Linked DNA regions of Notamacropus eugenii. Each later gene encodes a partner of the first gene's protein in a complex. Links are inferred from orthologs where the notes say so. Each region holds a gene or a part of one and is shown in the gene's direction. Other genes may lie near its edges.

Region 1 (8,194 bases):
GGAAGTGATCACTTGCAGTCACGTGCAGTCATTTACAATCTTTTGTCATTTCCCTTTGAGCTCATGTTTGCTTTTCCTATTTCTTATGCCCTCTTCATGTATTTGTCAATGGTATATGAAATAAAATTTATGTTAAAAACAAAACAAAAAGAAAAAGCTCTAAAAATATCCATATCTGCACCTGACTGAGCAAGGTCTCTCAAGAAATAAACTTTTATTTGTTGGAATACCATAAAATGTTCACTATGATCAGTTGCCATATATGTGAAAATACTCTAGTATTGAAGGAAGTACAGGATGGAACTCACTCATATAATACCATGAACAAACTGGCTGCTCTCCCTTTTGTAAGTGTCTTAGCATGTAAAATTTCTAGACCTTAGTGACAAATAAATTTGCTTTTAGATATGAAAATTTATATTTTAATGTTATTTTTCACCACCTAAAGAGAGATGACACTGCCTTCATATCTTAAATAATAGCAATATTACTGAAGCTCCAGTGTGTGTGCTGTTTTCATATTGACTGTGCTCATCAGTAAAATACTTGAAACATAAATGCTTCATACACATCATGTAGGATGGCCCACTTTTAATTTTATGCCTGATTCTAATCATTACAGTAAATTCAAGCAATTTAACAAGAGGTTGCTATACAGCATTTTTTTTTCCACTTTCATCCAAAGAACAAAAGGGATAGGTCAAAGAACTGTGGTGATAAAGGAAGATGAGCTAGGTTAAATTTAGTTTGGGGTAGGAAGTAACTTGACTGCCTGGCTGTGAAAACTAGCATGAGAGGAAAAGAATGAAAGAAATAGGTTTTATATATGTAGCCTTTTTAAAAGCCTAAAATAACAAGTGTCCAAAACTCCTCTTAACTGAGGTGTCTGAAGTACTTGAAAGTGAAATTTTTGGATAATTTGGCTTGTTGCATCTTAAAGCTTGACATTCCCTTTCAGGCACTGATTTCTTTACTCTTTTAGAATGACTCCTTAAATGAAATTAAACACCAGGCCTATGTCTAAGTGACTCCTGTTGTTGCAAAGCTAGGGTTTGAGGCTTTGGTAAGGAAAGTTTACCTCCTTAATTTTGGAATTAAGTATAGCAAATGCTGATGGGAAGTACCTTGATCTTTATGCCCTCTGTGGCTAGATAGTCACTTGAAGATCTTAGTAGCCAGAAATAACCCCCTGGAGATGGCCTTTGATTTGTTGGACAGTGACCTAAAAAAATGCAACTATACTGTTTTCAAGTCTGTGTGCTCTTCAATTTATCTTTTTCCTGCTCAAAGACTACAAAATATGTAAGTAAAAGTTGATCCAGAACTCAAGAATTTTAACTTCCAAGCAACCCATTACTGCTTCCTCCCCTCAAAAACTACCTAGCCAATTTCTTCTCCCAGCAAGAATGGTGAGCCCAGGGCTGGCCCCCTCCCCTGTCAAGATCAACTGCCCCTTTTTGACCGTTGGAATGTCAGGTGTTTGGATTTTTCTGAGGGGCAATGCTGCATTTGTTCTAAAGGATCACTGAAATATTAAATATGGTAACAGCAACTATTTAACTCCACTATTAGATATCCCTTGAGGGTTTAAATAAACATAGCAATATACGTGATTGATGAATAATGTTGTCTTGTGTTTAGGTCTAGGAGTCCATGCAAGGGTAGATTCGTTTCATTATTCTTTTCTATTCAGAAAGCCTAAGCTCGTATTAGATAAAATGAGCAAACTCTAAGGTAATAGGCAAAATGTGTTTATGGAAAAATCCCTTTCATTTTATATGTGATTATTAAAGCATTTGTCATAGACTTGTACTCCATGCTGGGAGGGAGGGGTCCAAAGAAGGATAATAATGATGTAAAAACAGAATCCCTACTCTCAAGCAGCTTTCCCAAGAAGAGAATAGCAGCAACCAAACTCAATCCATAGTCATTTATTAAGCACCTATGTGCTGGGAACTGGTTTTATAGATAACTGTGAAATAGATCCTGCTTTTAAGGAACTTATATTCTGTTAGAGTAGGACTAATAGAACTCCATCAACCAGAGACTATAAAGGTTATAGATTTTAATATACCTGTATGTATTAAGGAACTCAAAACAAGGTAAGGAATGATTCTGAAAAGTGAGTCAAAAAAGGAACAAAAGCTAATAGTAAGATGATATAGAAACCATTCTAAGGAGAGGGAAAAGTATGAGTAATATTTAGGGGAAGATCAGCCCAGCTACAACCTAGACAGTATGATATGAATACCAAAAAATGAAGTCAGACAGCAAAGAGCCTCCAGGCTAGGATGAGTTTAAGCTTTGGAGTGACTGGATTCCTAAACAGGGAGTATGCTGATCAGTGTGAGAATGCTTAACTTGAAATTAGGATATGTGATTGATTAGGAGATGGAAAAGATTATAAGGCAAAAAGATGAATGAGGTGAGAATTTAACCAAATGGCATGGAGGTAGAAATCAAGAGAAATAGCTGATCCTATTTAATTTAACAAGCATGAAGGGCCCATACCTGGCCAGGCATTGTACTAGGTATGGGGACTAAAGAGATAAAATAAGCTGTTCCTGCCCTTTGGAGAGAAATAATATGTACACACATAAATATAAAAGATATGCAAAGAAATTTGAGGTACTAGGGGGTATTGGTCTAATATAAAGGACAACATTATCAATAAGACAGGAGTTCCCAAGGTACCACATCACACCTATCAGATTCTCTAACATGACAAAACAGGAAGATGATAAATGTTGGAGAAGATGTGGGAGAGTTGGAACACTAATTCATTGTTGGTGGAGCTGTGAGTTGATCCAACCATTCTGGAGAGCAATTTGGAATTAGGTCCAAAAGGCTATAAAAATGTGCATACCCTTTGACTCAGCAATATCACTTCTAGGACTGAATCCCAAAGAAATCATAAAAATGAGAAAGGATCCCACATGTACAAAAATATGTATAGCAGCTCTCTTTGTGGTGGCCAAGAACTGGAAATCAAGGGAATGCCCATCAATTGGGGAATGGCTGAACAAGTTGTGGTAGATGAATATAATGGAATACTATTGTGCTACAAGAAATGGTGAACAGGAAGACTTCAGAGAGGCCCGGAAGGACTTATATGAATTGATGCTGAGTGAAAGGAGCAGAACCAGGAGAACATTGTACATAGTAACAACCAGAGTGTGCAAAGAATTTTTCTGGTAGACTTAACCTTCACAGCAATGCAAGGACCTAAAACATTCCCAAAGGACTTGAGGCAAAATGCCATCCACATCCAGAGAAAGAACTATGAAATTGGAAAGCAGAATGAAGTAGAATATTTTCTCTTGTGTTATGTTTTGTTTTGTTTGGGTTTTTCTCATAGCTTCTCCCATTCATTTTAATTCTTCCATGCAACATGACTAACATGAAAATGTATTTAATAAGAATGTATGGGTAGAACCCATATAAGATTGCATGCTGTCTGTCTGGGGAGGGAGTGGGGAGGGAGGAGGAGCAAATCTAAGACTTATGGAAGTGATTGTAGAAAACTGCAAACAAATAAATTTTAAAAAGAAAAATTAGAAAAAATAAGACAGGAATTCTAGAGTGGGAAGAAGGGAACAAGTAATTATGTGATACCTCTCATGGACGAGGCCTCATGCTAAGTGCTCTTAAAATTATCATCTCATTTGATCTTCACAACAACCCTGCCAGGTAGGTGTTATTATTATTACCATTTTACAGTTGAGGAAATAGAGATTGAGTGACTTACTCAGAATCACCCAGCTAGTAAGAGTCGAAGGCTGGATTTCTGACACCAGGTCTGGTGCTCTATCCACTGCACCAACAGTTGACTGAGTACAATAGAAAAGTAGAAAAAAATAGACTAATGACTCCAGAGAGTTTTGGTTAGGGCTAACATGGATGGATATGAGGGAGCATGGAGCTATAGTGAGAGAAACTTCAACATACTCACCCAACTGAAGCACAGAGATATTGTCATAAGGCAATACTAGTAATGTATTTGATTATCAGTCCTTGAGAAGAAGGCAGGGGATGGGGAGGTATGTACACTTGAGGTAGCAGAGCAGATGTCCTTGGTCCTGCCTGATGGTCAAGGCAAGGGTCAATGTAGACCTGGGACCGTATTAATTATAGAGGGAGATGGTATATTGTAGGTGCTCATTCTCAGCTAGTTCAGTTCAGCTCAGCTCTACACAGTATTCATTCCAAGGCTGAATAGCTTAGCTCTAGACTGCTGGAGGGCCTTTTTTTCCTAGACCAGTGACCAGCAAGAAGTAGGAGAAACCATAGAGCATATATCCATCCAGTTCTTCATCTTGTGTGATGGTCACAAGCAGAGATCAATGGAGTAGATGAACTTTAGAGATAGCAAAGGAATCAGACTGATAATAACAAAGGGCAGGGGGTGAATGAAAGTCAAAGGTAACATATAAGACAACATATAAGAAAAATGGAGCTATTTCATTGAGTAAGCATACTATTATTGACTCATCCCTAGTCAGGTACTGTCAGCAATCTGGCACCACTAAACCTCTTCATTTTTATTTCATACTCCTCCCTATACTTTACCTAGTCCATGCTACAAACAAACTCAAATTTCCTGTTACGTTTGGGATCTTTGGTTGGAATGCTTCCTTTGTAATTGGTTCATTTTTATGAACCACATTATCTTGTAGTTGCAGTCTAGATGAAATGAAAACATGAGAGATACCTACATGAAAATTGCAAAGAATTTCCCTACTCCAATTAGTCTCTTCTTAAATGGATACCATGATCCTTCTAGTTGACAGGTCTAGCAGTGCATCCTTTGATTTTCTTTTGTTTTTCAGTTCCTTTTCTTTTTTATTCTCTGCCATAGAGTGTTGTCTTTGTTGAGTTGTTTCAATGGTGTTTAACTCTCATAAGTTTAACCCCCATAAGGGGTTTTCTTGGTAAAGATATGGGAGTGGTTTGCCATTTCCTTCTCTGGCTCATTTTACAGATGAGGAAACCTGAGGTAAATGATCTTAAGTAACTTGCCCAGGGTCACCCAGCTAGTGTTTGAGACCAGACATGAACTTATAAGGATGCATCTTCCCGATTCTAAGCCCGTGCTCTATCCACTTTACCACTAGCTGCATGCTATGGAGCAGGGAAGATCAAATTGCTTTTCAATTAGGGACAGTGATTTGAAAGTAGCTGCTAAGAGTTGGTCAAATATTTCCTCTTCACCTTCTACGTGATTTTTCCTGGGTCCACCTTCACTATATCGTGGGTAAAAATAATCAGCCTTTAAAGCATCGCTGTCTCATTTTAAACAACTCCTTTAAGATAAAGTCTGAGATAAGGGGAAAGATCTGACCTGGAATCAGAGGTCCTGTTTTCACATCCTAACTCTATGGCTTACAAACTTTTTGATGTCCTCAGTTCTGAGTTTGAGGCCTCAGTTCTCATCTGTAAATTGAAGGAGTTGGTCCCTAAATCTTATGGTTCTTGATTTGGAGGTAGCCAAGTGGTCTTGGAGCACTGGACTTGGATTGATCTGAACTTGAAGCCTGCTTCAGATACTAGCTGAGTGACTGTGGGCAAGTCACTTAACCTCTCTTGTTCTCATTTTCTTCATTTGCTTGTGAAAGGCCTCCAAAACCCCACCTCTTCCTGCCTGTCCAGTCCTCTTACACCTTATCCCCCCATACATACTCTATGACTCCTGAGCATTTTAACTGCCTGTCTCCCATTCCTGAAATGCTCTCCTTCCTCTTTTAGTTTTGCCTCTCGGCTTCCCGAGTTTCTTTCTGGTCTCAGTTAAAATCCCACCTTTTTCAAGAATTTTTCCCTAATCCTCCTTAATCTTAGGACCTTCTCTTTGAGATCATCAATTTACCCTGCATATATTATATTCATACATGGCTGTTGTGTTTTCTGCTCCCCTCCCCAGGTGAACTTCTTGAGACCAGGTACTACTATGTCTTTCTTCGTGTCCTCAGTGCTTAGCAGTGCCCAGAACAAAGGAGGTGCTTAATAAATGCTAGTTAACTGACTCCATACCATGGGAATGATAATAGCACCTAACTCAAATGAGTTAACATACAGATAGGTGCCACACCGTTACATATATTTATGTATATACACACATAATATCCACATATACCTATAAAATGAGATAAGGTTTTGCAAACCTTAAAAAGCGATATGTAAATGCTACCTATTATTCAGCGACTCGTCATTGGCTGCAGATCCTTTGGATTTCAAAATAAGAATAATGATTATATAGAATAGAATGTAAAGTTTGAAAATTTAAAACGAGGAGTTTCATCAGTGTTGTTTTGTTTTTGTTTTTAACAAAGAAAATGAAATCTGGACCGACCTAAAGAAGCTGGAGGGCGGATTTTGGTTCAGTAAAGAGTGTTCATTTAGGGCTTCCAACTCTCGAACGGTCCCCTCTGGGAGATGGCGAGGTCTCTGCGCCTGGCAGGCTCCACTTGGAGGTCAGAGGTGGGGGTGGACCCCGCAGAGCGAACTCCTGCTCAGGTAACAAAACAAAAACAAAGCAAACCCCTCCCCACCCCCGGGCTTCCAACGTCCTCCTGTGCTTCATTTTCCCTTGTCTCCCATCCTCGGACGAAGACAGTGGAGGACTGCAGTTCTTCACCTGAAATTCGCATTATTTTCCCGTTCTGAGAAGGGGGTCCGTGACACACAAGAGGATCAGCGTCCCGGCCGAGGCATCGTCGCCCCGGGGCGCACGGATGAAGCTGCCTGGAAGGCCTGGAGGACGGGCTGATGCGCTGGGAGGGCGAGGGGGCTCCCTACACACTTTTAGTTTAATCTACGTTATTCGTATGTTCTCCATCACTTTCTCAACTCAACCAAACCCGTTTGCCGTCCTCGACGTAAGCGCCCACAATGGGCTCTGGAGCTATCGTTAGCACCCCTGGAGAAGGATCTCGGCAGGGGGGGCCCAGGCGGGTGGGAGAAACTCAGCCCACGAGGTCCGGTTCAGGGGGCTCCAGCAGCCCGGACATGCCGGTCCTCCTCCCCCTCCCGTCCGCCACGACAGGATGCGGACTACAATTCCCGACAGGCCCTGGAGCAGAAGCTCAGTTTGAACTTTTTGGACAGACCAGCGGCTACCTCCCAGGCCGAAACCCTCTTCCCAGCAGTGTTCGGACGGAGGCAGGAGGGGTCCGGGAGGTGAGCCGGCCCCCGAGAGAAGGGACTCGAAGGGCGGGGCTGTCACGCAGCTCCGCAAGGCCCCGCCCCTTTCCGGGACAGAGTTTTCGCGCGCTTTGGCGCGGGGGATTGTGGGGGAGCCGTGGCCACCGGGAGTGTGAGGCGGACGCGGGCGGCGTAGGCGCCGAGCGCCGGCCGCCGAAGCCCGGGGCCACGGGCGGGATGTTTCAGGACGAGCTGCGCAGCCTGGGGGCGGCCGGGGCTGGGGCCGCCCGGGAGGCGCTGCAGGCCCTGTGTCAGGAGCTGAACCTAGACGAGGGCAGCGCGGCCGAAGCCCTGGGCGACTTCATGGCCATCCGCAGCACCTACAGTCTGGAGGTGAGAGCCAGGGCGCGAGGCCGGGGAGGAGGCGCCTGCGCCCCCCGCCCCCACCCCTCCCGGGCCCGCGGGCCCCCGCTCGCTGCTCCTGGCCCCGCTGGAACCACTCGGGCTGGAGAGTCGAAGTCCACCGCTGTCACCGCCCTGGGGCTCCGGATCTGCCCGGGCGGAGGGAGGGGGGCAGAGGGGCAACGTCTCCCCCTCCCGCCTCCGACTGACAGCCCTTTAAATGCTGCAGTCCGGGCTTCTGGGCCCGCCCAGCCCCGCCCGCTTTTCTCCCAAACCTTTATTGTGCTGTCAGCCCTTCCAGAGTGACTTTGCCCTCCTCCTGGCTCCTCCTTGCCCTGGACCCCCCACCTCCCCACTCGGAGCCCCTCACCCCGCTTCCTTCTAAACTCGGCTAAAGTCCCACCTGCTGCAAGAAAGCTTTCCTAGGCTTTCCTCTGAGACCACCCTAGTTTATCCTGTATCTGTCCTATTTGTACACAGTTGTTAGCAGGTTGTCTTTCCCCTGCCCCCCCAACTCCTTGAGACGGGTGTGGGAGGGGGAGAGAGGCGGGGTGGGGGGGAGAGCTGGGTTTTGTTTTTCTTTATGTCCTCATCACTTAGCACATTGCCGGGCAAACTGTAGGTGCTTAATATTAGTAGTAGTAGTATGCTTTCG
Region 2 (8,120 bases), about 270 Mb from region 1:
CAGCCTCCGGGGACAGTAAAGGTTCTAGCTCAGAGATGTCAGCCTCAGGATTGAGGTCAGGATGACCCATCATCTCAGGGCTAAGGGAAATCAAAGGATTCATAGCTATGAGATATTGCCTTCACTCTCAGCTCCTCAGCCTCCCTCTGCTTGTCCTGCCCACCCTCTCCACCCTTGGCCTGGCACTGACCCTGGGTAAATATGCAGGGCCCAGTGCAACAGTGTGAAGATGTCCTGGGTGCCCAGGTCCTCATGGTCCAGAAGCTGCTGCAGGTGCTGGCAGAGGCCCTGGTGCAAGGTGTGGGCCCACAGCTTCACCACTCTGTAATCTCCAGGGCAGCAGGGAGCCACCAGGGCCTCTGCCAGGGCCAGTTCAGCAGGCAGAGCTTCTTGAAGAGTAGCCAGGTGTCCTGCCAGACCTGGAGGGCCAGGGGCTGGTCCCTCAAAGTAGGCTTCCTCAAGGGCCTTCCGAAGGGCCCCAAGGCAGCACTGGCGCCAGGCTCGGGGGCGCCCAGGGGATGATGACTGGAGCTGAATATCCCTTTCCTCCTCAAACTCAGCCACTCGAACTGCAGCTACTAGCAGGGCTGGATCATCTCGTGCCAGCTGCCGAGCTGAACCCACCACCTTCCCCATGGCTAGGCCCAGCTCCTCCCCGAGAGGTGTCAAACCTTCAAAGAGGGATAGCTCAGGTCTCCCAAGTGGGTCTAACACCTCATCCCTTAACTGCTCCAGCTGCCGTAGGACCCCATAGGCCTCCAGGAATCGATTGCCTTTGATCAGGGCCTGGGTTCTGGCCACTGCCTCAGGTACTGAGGAGAGAAGTAGGAAGCAGGAGGTTAGGAAGCAGTCCTGAAATGGGCTGGACATCAGGACTTCTTCAGACCTGTCCTGAACTAGCTATGTGACTTCAGGATATTTACGTCACTTCGTTTCTCTGCGCCTCAGTTTTCTTACTGGTGAAATTCAGTCTTGCAAACATTTATTAAACCCCCATGTGAAAATGAAAATAACATAAAATGAAATTTAAAATAATAAAAAAAACAAGGAAACAAAACCAAACCTCAAAGAACCTTAGGGTTCTTCAGACTTTGTAGCTGATTTACATGATCACTTTGTGGATCAGTCATACATTAGAAAAGTACAGACTTCTTTTCCCCAAGCTCCCTCATTGGTTCAGTCTGGAAAACTGACCGACTGGGTAAGGGGTAAGTGGCCTGACCAAGGTTGGTGCTCAAGGGCAACATGGGCCAGTAGAAAGAACACTGGATTTGAGGTCAGAAGATTTGGGTTTGAATCCTAGCTGCACTATCACTTAAGTTCTCTGGGTCTCCATTTTCTTTTCTGCATTGAATCAGGTGAGCTCGAAGGTGAGCCTCTTCGTCCCTACCCCTGATGAAACCCAGGAACATTATGGGACCTCACCTGCCAAGAGTTGGGGCAGTAGGAGTGTCACCGCCTGCAGCTGTCTATGCTGATTGGCCAGCTCCCGGAGAGGCCCCAGGGTGTGGGCAACTTCAGCCTGTTTCGAGAGTGCCTCCTGGGCCCCAACCAGGGCCTCCCCAGCCTCCTGGACCTCTTTCAGTGCCAGGCCTAGTTGCTGAAGGCCTGTCTGCACACTCTCCAAGTAAGACTGTACAGTTGACTGTGGGGAGAGAGCTTGGAGAGGTCAGTGGTAGATGGCACCCTGCAATGGAGGGGGCAGAGAAGGTCCCTCTGAGCATGATCTGATATGGGTGGGGCACGGTCGTTTGACAGAATTAGGGAAGGGAGAGCCTAGGACAGAATGGGAATGACTGGGACTAGGGATGGATGATGACTTTTAGGGACCCCAAATTCAAGCTTCTCCCTGGCCCCACCTTGATTCGGGATTCGATGGAGCACATTCTCTGGGCTTCTCGGCTTCGGTATTGGTCCAGCCTGGTCAGCTGCTTGGGACTGTAGAAGACGCCTGAGGCCCATTTCAGGGCTGCCCCTCTGGCCAACCTTTCAGCCTTCTCTAGTTCTGGCCACTCAGAGTCTGCTTAGGTGGATAGGGGTGGGGTGGGGGGAGGCAGGAAGAGGCTTCAGCCACAGCTGTTTCCCATCCCTTGTCCCTAACAGGAAGTCACTGGATCTGGGGCCCTGACCTGGTCAGTCTGCCTCTTCTAACACTCCAAGTTTGCCCAAATGCTGAGGTGGGGGTCGGGTTTAGTGGTACTTTATAAATGCACTAAATGCCATATTGTTATGGACTGCAATGTGGTCCATATCAAAGTATCACAGTATTTAGGGCTGAAAAGTCATTAAGTTCAACCCCTCATTTTACAGATGAGAAACTGAGGCCCCAAGAGGTCATGTAAGTTGCTTGTCTAAGATCACACAGCTAGTAAATGGCATGGCCTACAAAAACCTAGGTTCTCCATCCTCTTTCCACTCTGCTTTGCTACCTCTATTGGGTGGTAAGTGGCTGATTGCCCATGCCTGGGAAAACATCCCCACTACACACACTCTCTTCCCCACCAAGGCTGTCTCCAGATGTTCAGAACTTCTCTCAGAGGTCATCCATCCATTCCTCCACCCATCCATCCACTCATTCATCCCAGAGTGACCCCCAGGGGGATCGGCTCATTACCTTGGGGGGCTCCAAATTCCTGCTCCTCCTCCGTATCCATGCCCATGGCTTAGTAAAGGAAGGGTGTGTGGGGTGCTAGGCCTGATATTGGAATTGAGCCTAGCTGTTGGGGGGTTGGGAGATGGTTCAAGCTTGATTATGGAAGCTTGGCTCAGCTGAGCTTAAAAGCCAAAGCGTATTCTTCTCCAGGCAGGCTCCTCTGGGGCAGCACGGTTCCTGCCCAGCCTACTCAGGATATGGGAGGGAGGAGTGTGTGTTGGGGGGATGGGGGTGGAGGAGGGACTGAAGGTGAAGGGGTGGGCACTGGAGCTTGTGGGAAATGCCCTGTGTATGATCCCTAATGTCTAGATAGACAAGAGAGGTGGGAAGAGCGCTGAGTACCAGCCCTAGCCTGGGTAACCGCATCATAGGGCAAGGGCTGAGGGTATTGCTTGTGTATACTACAGCTACACCCTACAGCCTATGCCCCCTCCAGGGAAGTGGCAGCATCCTAGCCCCTTAGCGCCCTCCAGTGTTCATCAAAGTCTGGCTTTCTGACCGCCCCCCCCCCAACTCTATGCCCTAGGGCACCCACCTCTTCCCTTCCCAATGGATCCCAGTAGATTTATGCTTTCCATTCTCCACCTTCTTTACTTCCTTATGTTTTCCTCCTGGGGCTTAGTGGGAGTCAGGGGTATAGGAAATAGCCAGGAACTAGAAGAGAAAGGGAGGAGAGGGGACAGATAACACTTCTGTCTCCATCCCTCTCTGGTATGTGAATCCTTTCTCTCCCTGCTTGTGGTTTCCATTGCAAAAGATCTTAGGGATGATTATGCCTCTGCCCCTGTTGGGGAGAGATCTCAGAGAAGGCAGGGTGGAGTCATCCAGCAGCAGGTGGTGGGTATCATGACAGGTAAGTTTGGATAAATTTAGTGGAACAGAACATGAGAAGTGGCCTGTTATGGGCATGGGTCAGACTGTATAGATGCCTCAGCCAGGGCTAAGGGGAGTGCCTCTTTACCCAGCTGCAGAGATGCCCCAAGAACCCTTTTCTACCTCAGCATAGAAGGAGGATAGCTGATCTTTACCTCCATATGGAGTGCCAGTATATTCTTCTCTCCAGCAGGATGTGGGTCAACCAGCATTTATTAAGTACTTAACTCTGTGCCAAGCATGGTGCTAATCACTTGAGAAACAAAGAAAGGGGAAAAAAAAAATCAGGTCCCTGCCCTCAGGTACCTTACTTTCTAATGCATATTCCTAAATGTATATACAAGACATGTGCCATATAAGTGGAAGGGTGTGAATCTTGACTGGCGGGAGCATGGCATCATGGCCAGCCCCCAGCAAGCAGACTTGGGCAGCAGGACCTGTGAATATGGTGAGAGGTCTGGGACCGCAGAATTGGAATGTGGACTGAGAGGAGGGTAGCCAGAGAGATCCCAGGGACTAGGGCAGGGGTCAACAAACATTTCATTAAGGATATCCACCGTGGCCCTCAGAGATGATGGCTGTGTGTGTTTGTCCTTTGTTACCAAAGAAGACCATGCCATCATGACTTGCACTTGACTTTGTTTTGAGTGAGGGAGGGCTGTGCAGGTTACCAGCCATAAGACTGGAGGTGACCCAGGATGAGGCAATGGGGGTGAAGTGACTTGCCCAAGGTCACACAGCCAGTGAGTGTCAAATGTTGGAGTTGAGATTGGAACTCAGGTCCTCCTGACTCCTGCACTGGTGCTCTACCCACTGCACCACCTAGCTGCCCCGGGGGGATGGTGTAGGAGAGAGGTGGTTGTGGGAGCCACAGGTAAGTGGAAACTTTCTAGGAGCTGGAAAAAAGCATGACACCAGCTAGCACTTACATGGTGAGTTGCAAAGCACTTTACAAACCATATTTAATTTTCTCACAACAACCTTGGGAGGCAGATGCTATTGTTATAATATCCATTTTACACCTTAGGAAACTGAGGCAGGCCGAGGTAAAGCGACTCGTGTAGGGTTACAAGGGTGGTAAGGGACGGAGGCTGCGTTTGAACTCAGGTCTTGGTGGCACGGTGCTGGAAACAGTAGGTGCTTAATCAGTGCTGCTCGACTGACTGACAGAGCCCCTGCTGCCTCCAGTCTACTGCATCATTTAACTGCCTTCTGCCCACCCCGCCCGTGACTCAGGCGGTCTGACCCGATGCCCAGGAGTTTCTCGCCAGATCTGGTAGTTGACGAGTCTGGGTTGTTTTCGCCCTCCGTGAGGGCTGGGCTTTTTCCTACGACCCCTGGAATTCTGCGACTCTCCGGGAGAAAGGGAATCGCACACGGTCCCTGGTGGCGCCAGACGCTAGGAGGCCTACCGGCAGGGGCGCACGCGCGCACGCGCAGGCCTAGAGCTGGGCTCAAACGGAAGTGCAGAGCGGAAGTGTTGAGGGGGCTGCCGGCCGGGCACTGGCGAGCGGAAGCGGAAGTGGCGGCGGCAGGCGGCGGGCGCCGGCCTGGCCTGGGCTTAGGGAGGCAGGCTGCCATGGCGGAGTCCGGGCCGCAGGCGCCCCCGCCGCCGCCTCCCGGGACCCCGAGCCGGCACGAGAAGAGCCTGGGGCTGCTCACGACCAAGTTTGTGTCGCTGCTGCAGGAGGCCAAGGACGGAGTCCTCGACCTGAAACTGGTGCGGACCCGGCCCGGCTCCGAAGTGGGGGACCCTGGGGAGAAGCGAGGGCCGGGGCCGGACACGGGGGAGAAGCGAGGGCCGGAGCTGCACAAGGGGGAGAAGCGAGGGCCGGGGCCGGACACAGGGGAGAAGCGAGGGCCGGGGCCGGACACGGGGGAGAAGCGAGGGCCGGGGCCGGACACGGGGGAGAAGCGAGGGCCGGGGATGCACCAGGGGGAGAAGCGAGGGCCGGGGCCGGACACGGGGGAGAAGCGAGGGCCGGGGATGCACCAGGGGGAGAAGCGAGGGCCGGGGCCGGACACGGGGGAGAAGCGAGGGCCGGGGATGCACCAGGGGGAGAAGCGAGGGCCGGAGCTGCACAAGGGGGAGAAGCGAGGGCCGGGGCCGGACACGGGGGAGAAGCGAGGGCCGGGGATGCACCAGGGGGAGAAGCGAGGGCCGGAGCTGCACAAGGGGGAGAAGCGAGGGCCGGGGCCGGACACGGGGGAGAAGCGAGGGCCGGGGATGCACCAGGGGGAGAAGCGAGGGCCGGAGCTGCACAAGGGGGAGAAGCGAGGGCCGGGGCCGGACACGGGGGAGAAGCGAGGGCCGGGGATGCACCAGGGGGAGAAGCGAGGGCCGGAGCTGCACAAGGGGGAGAAGCGAGGGCCGGGGCCGGACACGGGGGAGAAGCGAGGGCCGGGGATGCACCAGGGGGGAGAAGCGAGGGCCGGGGATGCACAGCGGGTACCCAGGTGAGCGGCTCCCAGAGTCATTGGAAGCAAGTTCTCCTCGTCGCCACCTCTCATCTTTCAAGTCTCAGCCAAAATCCCACCTTGCACAAAAAGCTTTTCCCGATCCACCTTAATGCCTTCCCTCCGCTCATCGTCTCCAGTTTGTCAAGTTCGTAGCTTGTTCCTATGTAGTGATTTGCGTGTCCTTTGAGGGCAGGGACTGTTTTTTGCTTTTTCTTAGTACAGGGCTTCATAAATCCTTGCTAAGAGAGGAGGGAGGTCCAAGAGACGAGGGTCTTGGGGGAATCCTGAAAGGTGGAAATTGGACCAACAGCCTAGGAACAGCTGGAGGAAGAGATGAGGGAGTCAGATCAGAGCATGAATGGAGGAGATCTGAACAAGACAAGGGAGAACTGAAGACTGGGGGGGGGGGGGGAGCAATGACCAGCATGGAGAGAGGAGGAACCCCTGCAAAGTGCAAAAGGCAGGTGAAGGAGGGAGGTCTGGGCGAGACCATCTGCGGAGATGCCCTTCTTTTGCTGGGTCTCTAGAAGAGAAGCAAGCTGGAACAAACCTGGATTTTGGAGCACGGGGCAAGAGAACTGTACCATGCCTGGCAGGGGAAGGTGTTTCAGGCCCATAGGAGAGAGTAGGGCAAACCACAGGTACAGAGAGACATCAGAAGTAAGGAGGAGTTTGGAGACCAAAGTTAACTTCCTAAGATGTCATGTGTGGCTCTGGGCTGCACTGAGCCTGCCCTGCTGAAGTCTGTTGGAGTTGGTGTTGGCTTAAACCGTGGGGACAAATTGAAGCATCTCTCTTTTCTTCCTCCAATAGGCAGCAGATACCTTGGCTGTTCGGCAGAAGCGGAGAATTTATGACATCACGAATGTCCTGGAAGGAATTGGGCTGATTGAAAAGAAGTCTAAGAACAGTATCCAGTGGAAGTGAGTACTGGGGAAGGCAGGGCAGGAGAGATTCTCATGAGAGACTGAGGAGCCTCATTGAGTGAGACAGGTGGGAGGAAGAGGGTTCCTTCATGGAGTGTTGGACCCTGGATGGATGTCTACGCTAGGGGCAGGTACCCTGGGGAGGTAGGTACCATCTCACTCCCCTCTCCCCACTTGGGGACTGTACATAGGGGTGTGGGACCTGGCTGTAACACAAGGGAAATAGCAGACAAGCTCATCGAATTGAAGGCTGAAATTGAGGAGCTTCAACAGCGGGAGCAGGAGCTGGACCAGCACAAGGTGTGGGTGCAGCAGAGCATCCGGAATGTCACTGAAGATGTGCAGAACAACTGATATCCTTCCAGGACCTCCCTCTTCCTCTTTTCCTTCTGTCTCCTCTTCCCCACATTCATTATCCTGGCTCAGATTTAATGGCTGCTCTTCAGGGTTTACAGAGCACTTTTCTTAAAACAGTCCTGTGTGGTTGGTAGTATAAGAATCATCTACATTTAACAAAGGGGAAAATTCTGAAGCTCAAGAGTTGAGCCCCTTTGGTCAAAGCAGTAAACTGTAAGTGTCCAAAGTGTGATTCCCAGCTAGATCAATGGTGTCAGAGCTGCTAGGCCCACAGATTAGGAAGACAACCATCTAGGCTGGGCAAGGCAAGGCAAGAGCTGGTTCTAGTCGTGGAGAGATACAGTCAGGCCGCACCCTGAAGGGTTTGGGGTGTTGGTGAAGAAAGATAGAAGGCAGCAGAATAGTTTTTAAAAAAAGAACGTAAACTATAGTAATAATGCTAATACTAATGGATCCTGTTTTCTGGGGTATAAATACAGATGTAAAATATTTTTCCTACAATTCGGTGAGGAAGGTAGTAAAAAAGCATTATCTCTATTTTACTCATTAAGAAACTGAGCTCCAGAGCAGAGAATTGACTTAAAAGTTTTAGCTGGGATTAAAAACGAGGGCTCCTGACTCCAGGACCATGTGCTTTCTACCACATCATGCGTTAGGAATCCCTCAGTCATGGCTGGCACTAGCTCTCAAGTGCTGGTCCCAGAACCAGTCCCTTTCCTGTCATTCCCTTGGAGTGTGTTGCATTCCCTGTGCCATTGGTCTAATTTGACAGCCTACCTTCCTGACCTGAGGCTCTTTCTGATGGCTTCTCATCATTGTGCCTCTTTCCACTCAGATTAAATTTATCAGTA
Region 3 (7,346 bases), on another chromosome or scaffold:
ATTATTATTGTTCTATCAAAACATTTGTAGGGAGAAAGGGTTGGACTAACCAATTCCCATTAAATTGTTAAGACAATGGAAATGGCTTAGGTTGACATACTATATTATCTCTTTTCCTAAAAATTGTTAGGAATATGATAGATCTTTGTAGTGGAAACAAAAATCACTGAATCATGTAATCATAAATTTAGTGCCAAAAGAAATCAAGAATCTATCTAATCCAGCCCACTCTTATTACATATGAAAAAACTGAGGCACAGGAAACTTAAGTGATTTGCCCAATCACATAGCTATTAAGTATCTAGAGAATCAAGTCTCAGTCTCTTGTGGGGTAGGCAGTAATACTCACCACTCACCATAAGATAAGAAAAGTATGAATTCAAAAGGTTCTTTGTGATCCTCTGATTAACTGACAGAAACGGCAGATGTTTTGAAATTACATATTGTGCTCAGGCTCTGAAAGGCCTCTATAAGTTAATCAAACACTATTGGAAATACGGTGCTTAAATTTTTTTGAATATTTTAGTTTTTTCCCAATTACATGAAAAGATAATTGTTAACATTCATTTTTTAAAATAAGTTCCAAATTCTCTCCCTTCTTCTGCTCCTCCTCCCTGAGAGGGTAATCAATTTGATACAAGTCATCCATGTGCAATCATGCAAAGCATATTTCCATATTGTGAAAGAAAACAGACCCCTCCCCTCTCCAAAAAAACACAATCCACTCAAACAAAATAGTGAAAAATAGTGTGCTTCGATTTGCATTCAGGCTCTATCAGTCCTTTCGTGGGAATAAGATAGCTTTTTTCATCATGAATCCCTTGATATGGTCTTGGATCATTGTATTGCTGAGAAGAGCTAAGTTTCATTTACAGTTGATCATCATACAATATTGCTGTTACTATGTATGTTCTCCTAGTTCTGCTTAATTCATTCTGTATCATTTGTTTAAGACTTTCCCGATTTTTCTGAAATCATCCTGCTCATCATTTCTTTTTTTAAAATTTATTTATAGTTTCAACATTCATTTCCACAAGATTTTGAGTACCACATTTTCGCCCCATCTCTCCCCACCCCAAGACACTCTGCATTCTGATCACCCCTTCCCCTAATCTGCCCTCCCTTCTATCACACCCCTCCCCCTTCCCTTATCCCCATCTTCTCTCTTCTTGTGAGGCAAGATAGATTTCTATACCCCATTACCTGTATTTATTTCCCAGTTGCATGTAAAAACAATTTTTAACATTCGTTTTTAAAACTTGGACTTCCAACTTCTCTCCCTTCCTCCCTCCCCATCCATCCCCACCGAGAAGGTAAGCAATTCAATATAGGTTATACCTGTGTAGTTATGCAAAAGACTTCCATACAAGTCATGTTGTGAAAGGCTAACTATATTTCCCTCCATCCTAAACTGCCCCTCATTTATTCTATTCTCTCTCTTTTGACCTTGTCCCTCTTCAAAAGTGTTTACTTCTAATTTCCCCCTGCTTATCATTTCTTAAAGCACAGTAGTACATTACAATCGTATACTGCAACTTGTTCAGCCATTCCCCAACTGATGGACATCCTTGCAATTTTCAATTCTTTGCTACCATAAAGACAGATGCTATATATATTTTTGTACACATAGATGTAGGTATACCTTTTAAGAGACAATACCACAGGAAAAAGAAATTCCTTTTCCTAAGGATCAGAAAGATCAACTAGAGCAACCACCATAAACCGGCCTTTTTGCCAGCATGAACTTACCACTGAAGATGAGGAAAAAAAGGATGCTGGGTACCAGGTAGGGTTTATCTTAGAAGAAACCTATGAAACCAAAAGAAAGAAAGAGGGAGATTTTATCATTTTTGGAGTAGAAATTCAATGAAAAACTGTAGTGGAGAGAGAACAGGCCAGTTATATCCACAAAGCCAAATACTACAAAAAATATCAAGGATAACAGAGGAACTAGTTAATGCAAAATGCTAGATTTAAGCTCCTAAGTATCACTGAGAGTTGGTAGGACAGTATTAAAGATTAGAACATTGGAACAGAAGGGTATACCTTATTCAAAAGGAACACATTAACTAAGAGGCACTTATGAAAGCACTCCATACTAAGAATACACATTTAAGTTAGAGAATTCATAAGTGAGACAAGAGGAAATAATGGTGAAGAACATTTGGGTGAAGATCAACGGAGTTTAAAAACATTGGGATGGGAACATATTCAAGTAGAAGGGTACAAATGATAAACTTGAGGAAGAGATCATAAACATGGCACGAAGGTATTAGTAGTAAAAGACCTCATTCATCAAATGAGATTAAATATGTAAAGATGTTGACAGATCCTTTAGAGTTATATAGATGTTAACTATGTTACTATCTTCATCTAGATGTATCCTAAAGTAGTCAGCTAGAGCAGAGCAGGTGCTAAAATGGAAAAAAAAGTTTTATTGATGCTTTTAAAAACATTTTCACTTTCCAGTAACTGTCTAGCAGAACCGTAGCTTGCAACAAAAAAGTTAAACCAAACCACCATAACGATCAGAACCACCTCATTCTCTACCAAGGAGATGTGTTTCATAATCACCCAGTCATCTTGGGGTCCTTTCGCTGGTCGAAGTTTTCATATTTATTATGACCTTCCTTTACATTACTGAAGTCATTGTGTTGACAGTTCTCCTTGTCTGTTTACTTTCTTCATCAGTTTTTCTGAATCTAATTGTTAAGAACACGATATGTCTTAAAGATAATTTCATTTTTCAAAAATGGAAGGAAGTGAAAGGAAATGCTATTCTAGATCCAATCTTGACAATAAAGAGGATTTGGTGCCAAATTAGATTCTGAGAATCAACCTCTTCATCTTGGAACGTGTGACTGACAAAGAGCAAAAAGCTATGACATAAACCCAGGTAGGGTTATCTGGGAAGAAACCTATCAGACCAGAAAAACCGGAAAAAGATGGAACATTTGACTCAGTTTGTCCCCGTGCTGGCTGGTTCTGCTTTACGGTCTGTCTGCTCCGAGGAAGGCCGTATTTAGCTGGAAGCGTTTACACTCCGAAACTACAGAAAGCACGAAAACCAAAGCCTCCACGGAACTGGGGTAAGGGTGCGTTTAAAGGCCCGGCCGCACTTTGTCCAGCCAGAAATGCCTGCACTTGGAATGCTAAGTTAACAGAATGCCCCCAAAATGCAGAGAGATGAGGAAGGAGCTCTGCGGCCAAAGGCACCCCCCAACAACGCCGGAGCTCGGAGGGCAGCCCGGGCGCCGGAGGGGGGGCTGCGCCTCAGGGACCCCCAGGGCCGTCTTTGAAAGCCTCCAGACTCCTCATCAGGACGCTTTCAAAAGGCGTACGGTAACACACACAGGATCACCCGGGAAACCCATACGAGCCGCCCGCCGCTGCACCCCGGCTGAAGACTCCCCGTTCTTCACGGGGCAGGGCGCCCCCACAGGGGCACAGTCACCAGGCCGGCGAAGAGGAGTTCAAGGCCAGGGTAAAAACCATCAGGTCTCGCGCGCCAGAGGTGGGCTGGCCGCCGGCCGAGATCGTCAGGAGTGGGGGGGCTGGAGCCCGGGGACGCAGACCCGGCGCTGGACGCGGGCAGGAGCCCAGTCTGTCCAGAGGCTCCCCGCCTTTTCTCACCCGAAGCACGCGGGCTCGCAAGCCCGCCGCCGCCGCCGCAGCCGCCGTTACTCCCGCCATGGCCGCCAGCTTCAGCCCGTCACCGGATCGCTTCCCAGCCAGACCGCCACCTGACCCCGCCTCACTCGCCTTTCCCTGGGGGAGGAGGAGGAGGCGGCCCCTGATTCCGGCCAATCACTCAGCGCGGCCTCCTTCCACGCCCACGCCCCCACCCCCGTCCGCCGAGGCTCATCGGGGAAAGTAAGCCGCGGATCCCAAACGGAGAATTCGGTCCGCGCCCCCATCCCCCCTCCGTCCCTCTAGGCTGCTTCGATTGGTCGAGGAGGGGAAGACGCCCCCTTGTTTTCGGGCCTCCAGCACGGAATGAAGACGCCTCCTTACGGGGAGCTCGGATTGGCCACCGGGCGAGAGTTCGGCCCCGCCTCCCGGAGGGGAGGAATGTAAACAAGAACTGGGAATTTTGGCCCCGGTCGGCTTAAGTCAGGGAGTGTGGCGAAGGGGTGGAGGGGGAAACGAGTGGGAGGGGAAGGCATGGGGCGGTGCTAGGCCATCGGTCTCACTGATTGGGGCAGGAGGAATGGGGCGGGGCCTGGGTAAGTTCTAGGGGCGGTGCTTGCCGCTCACTTTCCCGCCGACGGTTGGCTGTGTCACGTGACATGGGTCGGAAGATGGCGTCTCCCACAGACGGTAGGAGCCGGCTAAGAGCCTACGATTTCCCAGTTTTTCTTCTCTCCTCTCCCGGGAACCTCCTTTCCTTACCATCTAAGGCTTCCTTCCCCACCTTCAGTACCCACCCTCGTCTCTCCTTTTCCTCGCTATCCCGACTCCTCCTCTACTTCCAGCTTTCCGGCCCCCCGCCGCGGTGGGTTTGCCGTGGTGAGCAGGGAGTAGCCCCGGTGACGGGGGAATAGGGGCCAGACTGAGCAGACACTCCTGGGGCGGAGAGGCGGAGCAGGGGCGGCCCTCCTTGCCCTGCGGAGGAGCCTGCTGGTGTGCCGCGGGTCGGAAGGAGAGAAGCCTGACGGAGGGGGTGGGGCGGGGCGTGGAGGGCGGAGGGGGCGGGGCGTGGAGGGTGGAGGGGCGGGCGTGGAGGCGGAGGGGGCGGGGCAAAGGAGGCCCCAGCTGGCAGGGTTCACGAGATGGAGAACCCGGGCTTGCTAACTTGTAGAAGAAACCCTGCGCCGCCAAAGTGTGCCTTCAGTCAGATTCGGCCGCCTTGGCACTAGCAGTTGATCCATTTCACTGGAGAAAGGAGAAGCCGCGGAGATAGATCGGGGCTACATCTCTTTTATAAGAACTTTTTAAAAATTTTATTTTTAGCATTCTTTTCAAAATATTTCTTGAGTTCTAAATCCTTTCCCTCTCTTCCTCCGGCGCCCCCTCCCCATTGAGAAGGGAAGCGAAATGATATCCGTTATCCATGTGAGATTGTGCAAAACATTTCCATATTAGCCATATCTCCAAAACCCAAGAAAAATAAGGTGAAAAAATGTGTACTCCGGTTTGCCCTCAGAATTCGTCAGTTCTGGGGGTGGAGAGCGTTTTTCACCCCAGTCCAGAGGGTCTTGGTGGGAGTAGCTAATCAGGGTTCAGAGGGCCACTTGTGGCTGGAGGCTGAAGGATCCCCGACCCTGAATATCTTTTGCAGCTGATCCTCATTTCAGTGCTGCTGTTCCTGTGTCCTTGATCTGATTCTGCATCAGTTCATATAGGTCTTCACAGGCTGTTCTGAAACCGTCCAGCTGGTCGTTTCTGAGAGTGCAACACTATTCCCTACGATCATACACCAGAGCTTATTCAGCCATTTTCCAATTGATGGGCGTTGCCTCAATTTCAAATTCTTTGCCACTACCTCAGAAAAGCTGCTATAAATATTTTTTGCACTTATAGGTTCTCTGACTTTCTTTGATCTCTTTGGGTTGCAGACCTAATAACGGTGGTACTGGGTCAAAGAATATGCTGTTTTATAGCTGTTTAAGTATAGTTCCAAATTGTTCTTCAGAGTAGTTGGACCAGTTCACAAATCCTCCTACAGTGTATTAGCGTCCCTGATTTTCCACATTCCCTCCAGCATTTGTCATTTTTCTTTTCTGTCATGTTAGTCAATCTGATAGGTATAAAGTGGTACCTCAGAATTCTTTTAATTTGCATTTCAGATCAATTGTGATCTGGGACATTTTTTCAAATGACTGTTAAGAGCTTTGATTTCTTCTGATAACTGCTTGATGAATGGCTCTTATTTTTATAAATTTAGCTCAGTTCCCCATAGGGTTGAGAAATGAGGCCGTTAGCAGAAAACTTGCTGTAAAAACTTTTGGTATTACTCATTCTCTATGGTACTGTTTAGCAAAATGTAGTTTCCCTGATTATATCTTCTGGTTTTGCTTTTGCTTTGTCTGAGGTCCTGTTTGTTACTCCTCTTTTTTTAAATTTCATATGAAGCATAATAGCATCTGCTCCAGCCCCTTATTTTAACTCTGTGTCTTTAATTTTAAATGCGTCTCTTCTAAAGAACATATTGGATTCACATTTCTAATCTATTCTGCTGTCTGCTTCTATTTTAAGTGTGAATTCATCCCAGTCATATTTACAGTCTTGATCACTGTGTTTCCCTGGCCTCTTGAAGTCTTGAAGGGATTTAGGGATTCCCAGGGGCAAAGGTGAAGAAAGAAAATACTAGGGATAAGGGGATAGACTATGCAAAGGTGCAGAGGCAGGAGATCAAATACCATTTATGAGGAATAGCAAGTAGGCTAAGCCAGCTGGAACCAGGTTGTAAAATGCTGAACAGAGGTGTTTCATCTTTATCCTCAAGGCAAATGGGGAGCCACTGTACTTTTGAGCAGTGGCATGACATAGACCAATGTCTTAGGAATATAAATTTGTCAGCATTATGGAAGATTCATTGGAGAGGAGAGAAATAAGAGATAGGGAGACAAATTGGGAAGCTGTTGCAGTAGTCCAGGCAAGTGATGACAAGCAAGCTTGCACTGGGGTAGTTAGGATGTGAAGAAAAAGAGAGAATGGATATGAGAGGTTTTTATTGTTGTCCTTCAGTTGTGTCTGACTCTTTGTGACCCCATTTGTGATTTTCTTGGCCAAGATGGTGCTTTGCCATTTTTTTCTTCAATTCATTTTACAGATGAGGAAATTGAGACAAACAGGGATAAGTGTCTTGCCCAGGGTGTTACAGCCAGGAAGTGTTTGAAGCCAGATTTAAACTCAAGAAGACTCATCTTCCTGACTCTAGGCCTGGCACTCTATTTACTGTGCTAGGAGACAGGTTAAAGAGGTAGAATCCACAAGAATTAACTACTGCTTGAATGTGACTGAATATGAAGAGTTTAGGATTACTCTGAGGTTGCAGTTGAGGATGACTCTGGGTGATTAGAAGAGTGGAGTTCTTTTTTTTTTTTTCCTGAGCATATCAGTTTAATTGCTTCCTTTAATAAGCATCCTTAATTGCCCAACAATTTGGTACCATTTACTTTCCTCAACTTTGGCATGGAACCCCAACTCCAAGGGGAGACAGGCTTTTATACATTAAAAACAATCTTATGAGACCAATTAATTAAAAGAAAATTAACCATGATACAAAATTAGGTAATCTGATTTCTATTTAGAGGAAGGATGTTGGGAGGGGAAAGCAAATAGGTGCAATTCTCTGAAATCAGAAAAAAGTATCCCACTCTTCCCAAGTTGTCTATAAACAA
Region 4 (7,501 bases), on another chromosome or scaffold:
TCATACCTATTAGACTGGCTAATAGGAAAGTAAAGGAGAAGGACAAATTTTGGAGGGGATCTGGAGGAAAAAATGACACATTAATGCACCCTTGGTGGAGTTGTGAGTGGATTCAACCATTCTGGAGAGCAATTTGGAACTATGCCCAAAGGGCTATAAAACCATGCATACCTTTTGACTTAGCAGTGCCACAACTGGGTCTGTATCCAAAAAGAGTTAAAAAATAAAAGGGAAAAGGACCTACATGTAGGGCAATATATATTGTGCACCAGGCACTGTGCTAAGAGCTGGGAATAGAAAGGCACACTTGAACTTTTCCTACTCTGAAAGCACTTGAATTCTAATGAGAGAGATGACATGGCTGTTTCTAAATAAATACATAACATGGTGGTTTCTAAGCATATACATAACACACTGAATACTTGAAGTATAAGGTAGTTTTGTGAGGGAGTGCCTGAGCACCTGTGGGGATCAGGAAACATTTCATGTAGATAGTGCTGATTTAGTCATCCATCAATGATGGTGAGAGTTAGTGAACTGTGGAGGGGAATCCCAGCAGAATTCTGCTTGCAATATGTTAAGTTTGAGATGTCCATGGAATACACTGTTTGAAATGTCCAGTAATTAGTTGGTAATGTGGGTCTGGGACTTAGAAAACAAAAAGGAAGTGAAGAAACATTTTTGTTCTCATAAAAAAGCCCTGGGCCAGGACACATATGAGCTGACTAGTAGAATATATTAGTATACATGTATACTTTATTAAGCATATATTATTAAAGTATATTTTATACTTTATAGGTAGTACACTTTATGAAGTGTAGGCATTATTGATGTAGCTAGATGGTACCATGATTCATAGAGCATCAGGCCTGGAGTCAGGCTGATTCATCTTCCTGAGTTCAAATCTGGCCTCAGACATGTGGCTATGTGACCCTGGGCAAGTCACTTCACCCTATTTGTCTTAGTTTCTTCATTTGTGAAATGAGCTGGGGAAGGAAATGGCAAACCACTCCAGTATCTTTGCCAAGAAAAACTCCAAATGGGGTCACAGAGAGTTGGATACAACTGAAAATGACTGAATAACAACAATAACATTATTGATACCTATCTGATTAATTTTAAGTAGATTTGGTTAGGCATGGATAATATAAAATAAACACTGAAGTTCTCATCTCTAGAATCATGGTGGAATGGACAAAGTACGGATTTTGGTCTGAGAAAGCATAAATTTTTATTAGTGGCCATGTGAATTTGAGTAAATCATTTCCTCTCAGCCTCATTCCTCATCTGCAAATGAAAATATTTGTACCACTTGCCTCAACAGGTTGTGAAGAATGTAATAAGTAAGCCATATTGTACTGTGTAAATCTGAGTGATGATAATGACATAAAAAAATCTCTCTTTTCTTGTCCCATTATATAATTACTGATTAAAGCAATGAGGAGGAAAAGAGAGCAATGGCTATTAAGGCAAAAGGGAAAAAATCCTTTTTCATTAATTGTGAAGCTAATTTTACCATCACTGGACCAAAATTGGCACTAGGTACCTATTTAGGAATTTTTAAATGTTATATTAATTTTCCTTTCCCCTCCCCCCAGAAAAACTTCCACAAGTTACTTTTTCCTGAAAGGTTTTCAGGGTCTTTTTTTTAAAAACTACATTAGTAAGTTGTCCTTTATCCTGGAAGGAACTGACTTTCTGTGGAACTAGCAACTACAGGTTTTTATGGTTTACTCTGCTTAGGTCATGGAAATTCATAGGCAGATCACATCACTGATACACAGTAGATGGAAATTTTGTTACATTCCACTGTTCCTTTTATTTTACATTGTGTCTGAGTAAGTTATATGAAAGATATTTAAGTTAGTTTTTTTTACAAGTTATTTTGCTCAAAAGAATATTGGCTTTAGCAGATTTTGAATGAAATTGAGGCACAATCTTAAACAGTAATCATTATCTTCTCTAAGCCTGCCTTCTCTTCTCCCACACTCATTTCCCCTTTTCATTTGAAGACACCATTGGACTCCCAATTATCTGGGTTATAATCTCAGTTATCAGCCCTCATTTCTAAATCCTCATCAAATCCTGTGGATCTGACTTCCATATCTCTTCTATTCTTTTTTTCTCCAAAGTATCAATAGTCTTGTTCAAACTTTTGTCATACTTCACCTACACAATTGTTAAATTGTTAGCCTCCTAATTAGTTTCTGTACTTCCAGTCTCCCATCTTCAATCCACTCTCCACAAGGATTCCAAAATAATCTTCCAAAGGTACCAGTATGGCCATGTCATTCCTTTGCTCAAAACCTTTCAGTAGCTCCCTATGACCTTTGGTACAGAATGCAAACTCCTCTGCCTGGCATTTGAGGTTCTCAACAATTTGGTTCCAGTCCTACAGCCTCATTTCACATTATTCTCCTTCTTGTTTTATGTAATATAGGATCCAGCTGAACTAGCCTATTAGCTGCTCTTCAGATGCAACATTCTATCATCTGCCTTCATGTATCCACACAAGCCGCCACTCATATTTGCAGTTCACTCCTTATCCATACCCCTCAGAAGCCTTATTTTCTTGCCATCTTCTCTGTGAAGTGAGCCTATCCTCATCCAGTGATTAGGGGTCTCTTCCTCCTTGAATTACTTGTGTACATGTTGTATTCTCCCAGTAGAGGAAACAACAGTACTCTCTCAGTAGAGTGTGTGTCCTGGAGGTGGGGTGGAGGTCCAGGGGTATATATTCTGCATCTCCATCATTTTGCATAGTGTCTTTCACATAGGGACATTAAAAATACTTGTATTGAATTGGCTTATAAATGTTCTAGTTTTTGTTAATGAAGCAATGATTGCTTTAGGATTTGTGTATTTAAAAATTATTCAAGGTGACATTAATTTGCCATTATTTAGCTTTCAACTCCCTTGACTTTACCTGTTTATTTCTCTTCTGAAAGAATGCTTAGCTCTGAGACCTATGTTTTAAGAGACATATTGATAAACTAGAGTCGAGAGGGTAACCAGGATAGTGAGGCAAACTCAAAAAACTCAAAAGCAAATCTTACTAAAACAAAAACAAAGAACAGACTGAAGGTTTGTTTGAAGGTGGTGTTTAATCTGAAGAAAAGAAAATATGATAGATGTGATCAGTTTTCTAACATCTGAAAGGTTGAGAACCAGGAATTAACTTGCCCTGGAGGGTAGACCTAGGAATTTACAGAGAGGTTGATTTCAGCTCAACAGAAGGAACACGTTTGTTATGCTTAGAGCTGATGAAAATGGAATGGCCAGTCTCTTGCAGTGTCTGAGTTATCCATTCCTGGGGACTAAAGGACCTCCCATGGGGACTGTTATATAGAGGGAATTCATCGGTGGGAACTTGGTCTGCCTGGCTTCTGAGGTCTTAAAAATCTGATTCAGTTACTCCTGATGTTGTCCTCATGCCCTTTCTTGGTATGAGGAAAAATCCAAAGTCCATTCATCACTGCTTCACCCAGTCTGATTTACTTACTTCCTTTCAACAACAATTGAATCCTGTCTCTGGGGTTCCTTATTTGGATTGGTTTTATGTAGGTGCCTCATTCCAGGCTCCCAGGGGTGTGAATGGATTGGTATGATTTGAGAGAAGTTAAGAAAGGTGGAGGTCTCCTATTGTATGCTGGGCCATCTCTAGCCTATTCTGATCTATCTCTTAAATCCAATTCACTTACAAGTCATGGCAACATCTTCCTGATGTCATGGTCCTCTTTGGGAATGAAAGTTTTACCTGCTCAGATAGGGAAGTTTGGTGGGAAGGAAGAACTAGGTCTTGGATGTATAATTCCTTGCGGACTCACCCTGCCATCAGAAAGTGAGCTCACTGAGGGCAGGACCATGGTTTCCACCTTTCTGTGCATCCCCAGCACTTAGCACGTAAGCAGACTTTCAACACGTGCTTTCTGGCCGCTGGGGGTTTCAGCAGAGGATAGACCCCGGCCTCAGGATGTCCAAGCCTGCCTCAGTTTCTCCATCTGTCAATAGGAATAATAATTCATAATAAGAGCATCCTTCCCTGGATGGCTGCGAGGATCACAGGAGATGTTATTTGTAAGGCACTTTGCAAGCACTCAAGGGTTACATGTGCGGGATTTGAACTAGTCTTTCCGACTCCAGGCCCGGAGCCATCTGTTGCGCCTCCGGCCCTTTCCTTGGAAGGGGCTGGAATTTCCTGCAGAAAATCTGGAGGCCGGGCTAGCCACAGGCCACGCTCCTTTCGGCCACTCCCCATGGGCGGGGTTTGATGCAAGCCCCACCCCCAGAGCGCTTTTTCCCTCCTTCCCCACCCCTCCCCACCCCTGCCACGGGCTCCTCCCCCTCCCGCTGTCACCTCGTGGCTTGGGCTCGGGCGGGACGTTCGGCCCCGCCCCCCTGCCCACCCCACCTTTCCCCGCCCTCATTGGGAAGCCAGGGGGCGGGGTTTGTTTACACCCCGCACGCATCGCCAGCCAGACCAATCGGCGGGCAGCAGCGCCTGACGTCACGCGGCCCGGTGTCCAACCGGAGCGCGCAGTACCCAGCCCCCGCCAAAGCTCGCGCGGGGGAAGAGAGAGGAGAGTTGATCCGGGCCCCGGGGCCGACCGCCCGCGAGGTGAGAGGAGCAGGTGGGCCTGAGCCGGGCTTGGGGCGCGGCAGCTGTTCCCGACGCTCGGCGAAGGGGGGCGACGAGAGCCCGGGGTGGGAGGGGGAGCAGGGCCGCGCACGGGTGGCGGGGCGCACGCGCGCGCGGGCGGGCACGAGGCTGCTGGAGGCTGCGTGCGCACGGCCGGCCGGTCTCGCGGGCTCTCGAGCCCCGGCGCCTTCGCCCCCGGACCCCCGGGAATGAGTCCGCAGACCGCCGGCGGCCCCAGTCCAGCCGAGGAGCTGCTGCGGCAGCGGCTCGGGGTAGCTCCCTCGCCCCCTTCGCGTCGTGGGCCGGACGCGAGCCCCTCAGGCCGCCTTCTCCACGGCTACGCCGGCAGGTAACGTCCCCCTTCCCCCCAGCGCTCGGTCCTCGCGTGGTCGCGGCAGCGCTGTGGGGTTGCCGTGGGTGGGTGGGGCGGGGTCCGAGGAAGTGAGCCCCTGGCTCTCACCCCTCCCTCATGACTGGGGAACCCCCCACGTGCCCCTCTCGAGAGGCTTCCCCTCTTTTATTTCCACGCGCGCTGTCCCTTCCGTCCCCGGAGCGGGACGCAGGAACCTACGTGTTGGTGCTTACGCGGGGGCCGAGAGCTGGACCGGGACACCCTCCCATTTGTGGGGGGCACCCCCGGCAGGAGAGCGACTTTGCTGGCTTTTCGATGCCTTCTGGGGTGAAGGACCCCAGCTCAAGATCTTGTAGCTCCTCCAGAGGCACTTCCCCACCCGAGAATCGTGGAGCGTCCCATTTCTCGTGCTGACCACCAGTCGGAGGCATTTATCCAAACTGAAGCTTTCGCTTTGTTCCCCCCTATCCTTTCCTATGCTTTTAAATTTAATTCCTGCGTTCACCTTTTTCTCAACAACTGTAATTCCCCAGTGGTAACTGTTTTAGAGATCTATAGATTGGACCATCTTTTCCACGGAGCTTTATCAGAGAATTCAGAGCTGGGAGGGACCTCAAAGGTTATGTATCTTGTCTACCCCCTTTCCCATGGAAAATGAATCAGATGTTATCAATATGTAAACTTGAATTCCCTTTCCTTTTTTCAGGGTCTTTGAGGTCTCCCAAAATATCACTGAACCTTCCAAGTACTTCAATCCTGTGTTCTTCCTCTCCCTGAAAAAGTTAATAGCTTAGTTTCTGGGGTTTTTTCTCCTTCTATAAACTTTAGTCTTATAGTCATAATCTGATCTCTTTTCAAATCATTTCCTGTACCATTTATCATTTTTGCTGGTCTCTCAGTTAGAGTCTGATAGAGGTTTAGAGAAGAAGGATGATCTTCAGATCCATTCCCTTTTACAGATGAGGAAACTGTTGCCTTGAAAGATGAAACAACCTGCTTGCTCAAGGTCGCATGGCTTAAATTGCTGCTAGGATCTTCACTCTTCTGATTTCAAACCTTGTATTCTTTTCTTCTTACCAGGCTGCCTCTAATCTGGAAATAATAGATCATGTCATAATTTTAAAGGTGGAAAGAACCTTAGAGGTCATCCATTCCAGCTCCCTCGTTATACAGATAAGAAAACTTAGGACCAGTGAATTGCCCAAGGTCACATAGGGAGAAAATGACAAAGCTGGGATTTGAATCTAGAGTCTTTGATTCCAAATCCAGTGTACTTTCTACTGTTATGTGTTGTATCTAAATCCTGTGTCAGCTAAAGAAAATAGTAGAATTAATTGTAGAATTTATAACTTGAAGGGACCTTTGAGATCATCTAGTTTACCTTCCCACTCCCATGGAAAAGGAACTTAGTGTTATTTATCAGTGTTAAAATACTATAAGATCAGAATCAGTGATGTTCCCAAATAGCAAAGCAAAACCTTATGTTGGAAAGCAAAATGCAGATTGTTTCTGTTATTTGTCCTAGATTCTCTTCGAAGTTGGTGTGCTGTTTTTAAGACAACTGTTATCTTAAAAGAGACATGTATAGTACACATTTTTGTGGATGTGTATCTTGTATTTCATAATTATGAAATAGTGGACATTTCTAAAGTGTTTTGACATTTGCCTAAGAAACTTTAGGCTTTGTAGATTCTTTTGCAGCCAAAACAATTAAGTTTTTGCTATGTATTACATGATCTTATGCCTGGAACCAGATTTTGGTCTTAATGTCTTTACTTAGGTAGCAACCTTTTCTCTGATTTAGGACTACTGTTTCTATTTTAAAACAAATCCCGTAAGTCTCACAGACTCAGTAAATTCTTCTTCAATTTTCTCTATTGATGTTAGGAGCAAACAAATTTGTTAGAAGGAAATTATCTAGATCGAGCCCCTCATTTTACAGATGAGGAAGTTGGCCCAAATAGGTTATAATTGCTTAGTCAGTATCATGCAGGTAGTATTATGTTATTGTAGCCATTTAATTTGTATCTATTTTTTAATAGGGCTTTCTGGACGCCTGTAGATTTTTCCTTTGCAGCCAGAATTCTTAAAGCCCTCAAATATGAACTTAAAAACAATCAAGAAGTGAGATACACAGATAAAAATCTCTGCTGCCTTAATAAATGGAAAGTGGTTTCTTATTACCAAAACTATAATAAATAGGACTGATGATAGTGATGTAATTTAGATTAGAAAAAAGCATTTACATTTGGTACCCTTGAAAATTCAAAAGGTTCTTTCATTAATACGAGTTTTATAACTTGCATTTGAAATTTTTTTCCCTCATAAAGATACATGTCCTTGGTTGGTATTGGTTTTGTAGAACACTAGCTGATCATATCAGTTCAATTTTGTCAGCAGCAAAAGCAGTAAGAATTAATATTAAGTTTTGGAAGTGTGGGTTCCAAGCAAATTTCTGATGCGGGTATCATCTTAAATACTTGGGGTATTACTTTAAATCCTTTAAGTGT

What was found.
Region 2: RBL1 (region 1) and E2F4 share a complex: the UniProt entries of both Homo sapiens proteins name them as parts of the DREAM complex. The link is inferred for Notamacropus eugenii from reciprocal best matches to the Homo sapiens genes RBL1 and E2F4.
Region 3: RBL1 (region 1) and LIN52 share a complex: the UniProt entries of both Homo sapiens proteins name them as parts of the DREAM complex. The link is inferred for Notamacropus eugenii from reciprocal best matches to the Homo sapiens genes RBL1 and LIN52.
Region 4: RBL1 (region 1) and TFDP2 share a complex: the UniProt entries of both Homo sapiens proteins name them as parts of the DREAM complex. The link is inferred for Notamacropus eugenii from reciprocal best matches to the Homo sapiens genes RBL1 and TFDP2.

What each region holds. Positions count from the first base shown.
Region 1 is NC_092872.1:427,722,281-427,730,474, reverse strand, and holds the start of RBL1 (retinoblastoma-like protein 1), read left to right. Parts: upstream 1-4,819; 5' UTR 4,820-6,885; coding exon 6,886-7,530; intron 7,531-8,194. UniProt on the Homo sapiens protein: Key regulator of entry into cell division. Directly involved in heterochromatin formation by maintaining overall chromatin structure and, in particular, that of constitutive heterochromatin by stabilizing histone methylation.
Region 2 is NC_092872.1:695,050,020-695,058,139, forward strand, and holds the start of E2F4 (transcription factor E2F4), read left to right. Parts: upstream 1-4,992; 5' UTR 4,993-5,105; coding exon 5,106-5,246; intron 5,247-6,799; coding exon 6,800-6,909; intron 6,910-7,103; coding exon 7,104-7,265; intron 7,266-8,120. Other genes in the region: EXOC3L1 (exocyst complex component 3-like protein), read right to left, coding at 1-80, 191-812, 1,426-1,645, 1,860-2,023, 2,615-2,660. UniProt on the Homo sapiens protein: Transcription activator that binds DNA cooperatively with DP proteins through the E2 recognition site, 5'-TTTC[CG]CGC-3' found in the promoter region of a number of genes whose products are involved in cell cycle regulation or in DNA replication.
Region 3 is NC_092878.1:56,577,028-56,584,373, forward strand, and holds the start of LIN52 (protein lin-52 homolog), read left to right. Parts: upstream 1-4,212; 5' UTR 4,213-4,257; coding exon of another isoform or gene 4,258-4,289; coding exon 4,290-4,320; coding exon of another isoform or gene 4,321-4,395; exon of another isoform or gene 4,396-4,414; intron 4,415-4,427; exon of another isoform or gene 4,428-4,655; intron 4,656-7,346. Other genes in the region: ALDH6A1 (methylmalonate-semialdehyde/malonate-semialdehyde dehydrogenase [acylating], mitochondrial), read right to left, coding at 1,750-1,809, 3,634-3,768, 4,258-4,395.
Region 4 is NC_092877.1:330,407,477-330,414,977, reverse strand, and holds the start of TFDP2 (transcription factor Dp-2), read left to right. Parts: upstream 1-4,456; 5' UTR 4,457-4,618; exon of another isoform or gene 4,619-4,631; intron 4,632-4,737; exon of another isoform or gene 4,738-4,988; intron 4,989-7,501. UniProt on the Homo sapiens protein: Can stimulate E2F-dependent transcription.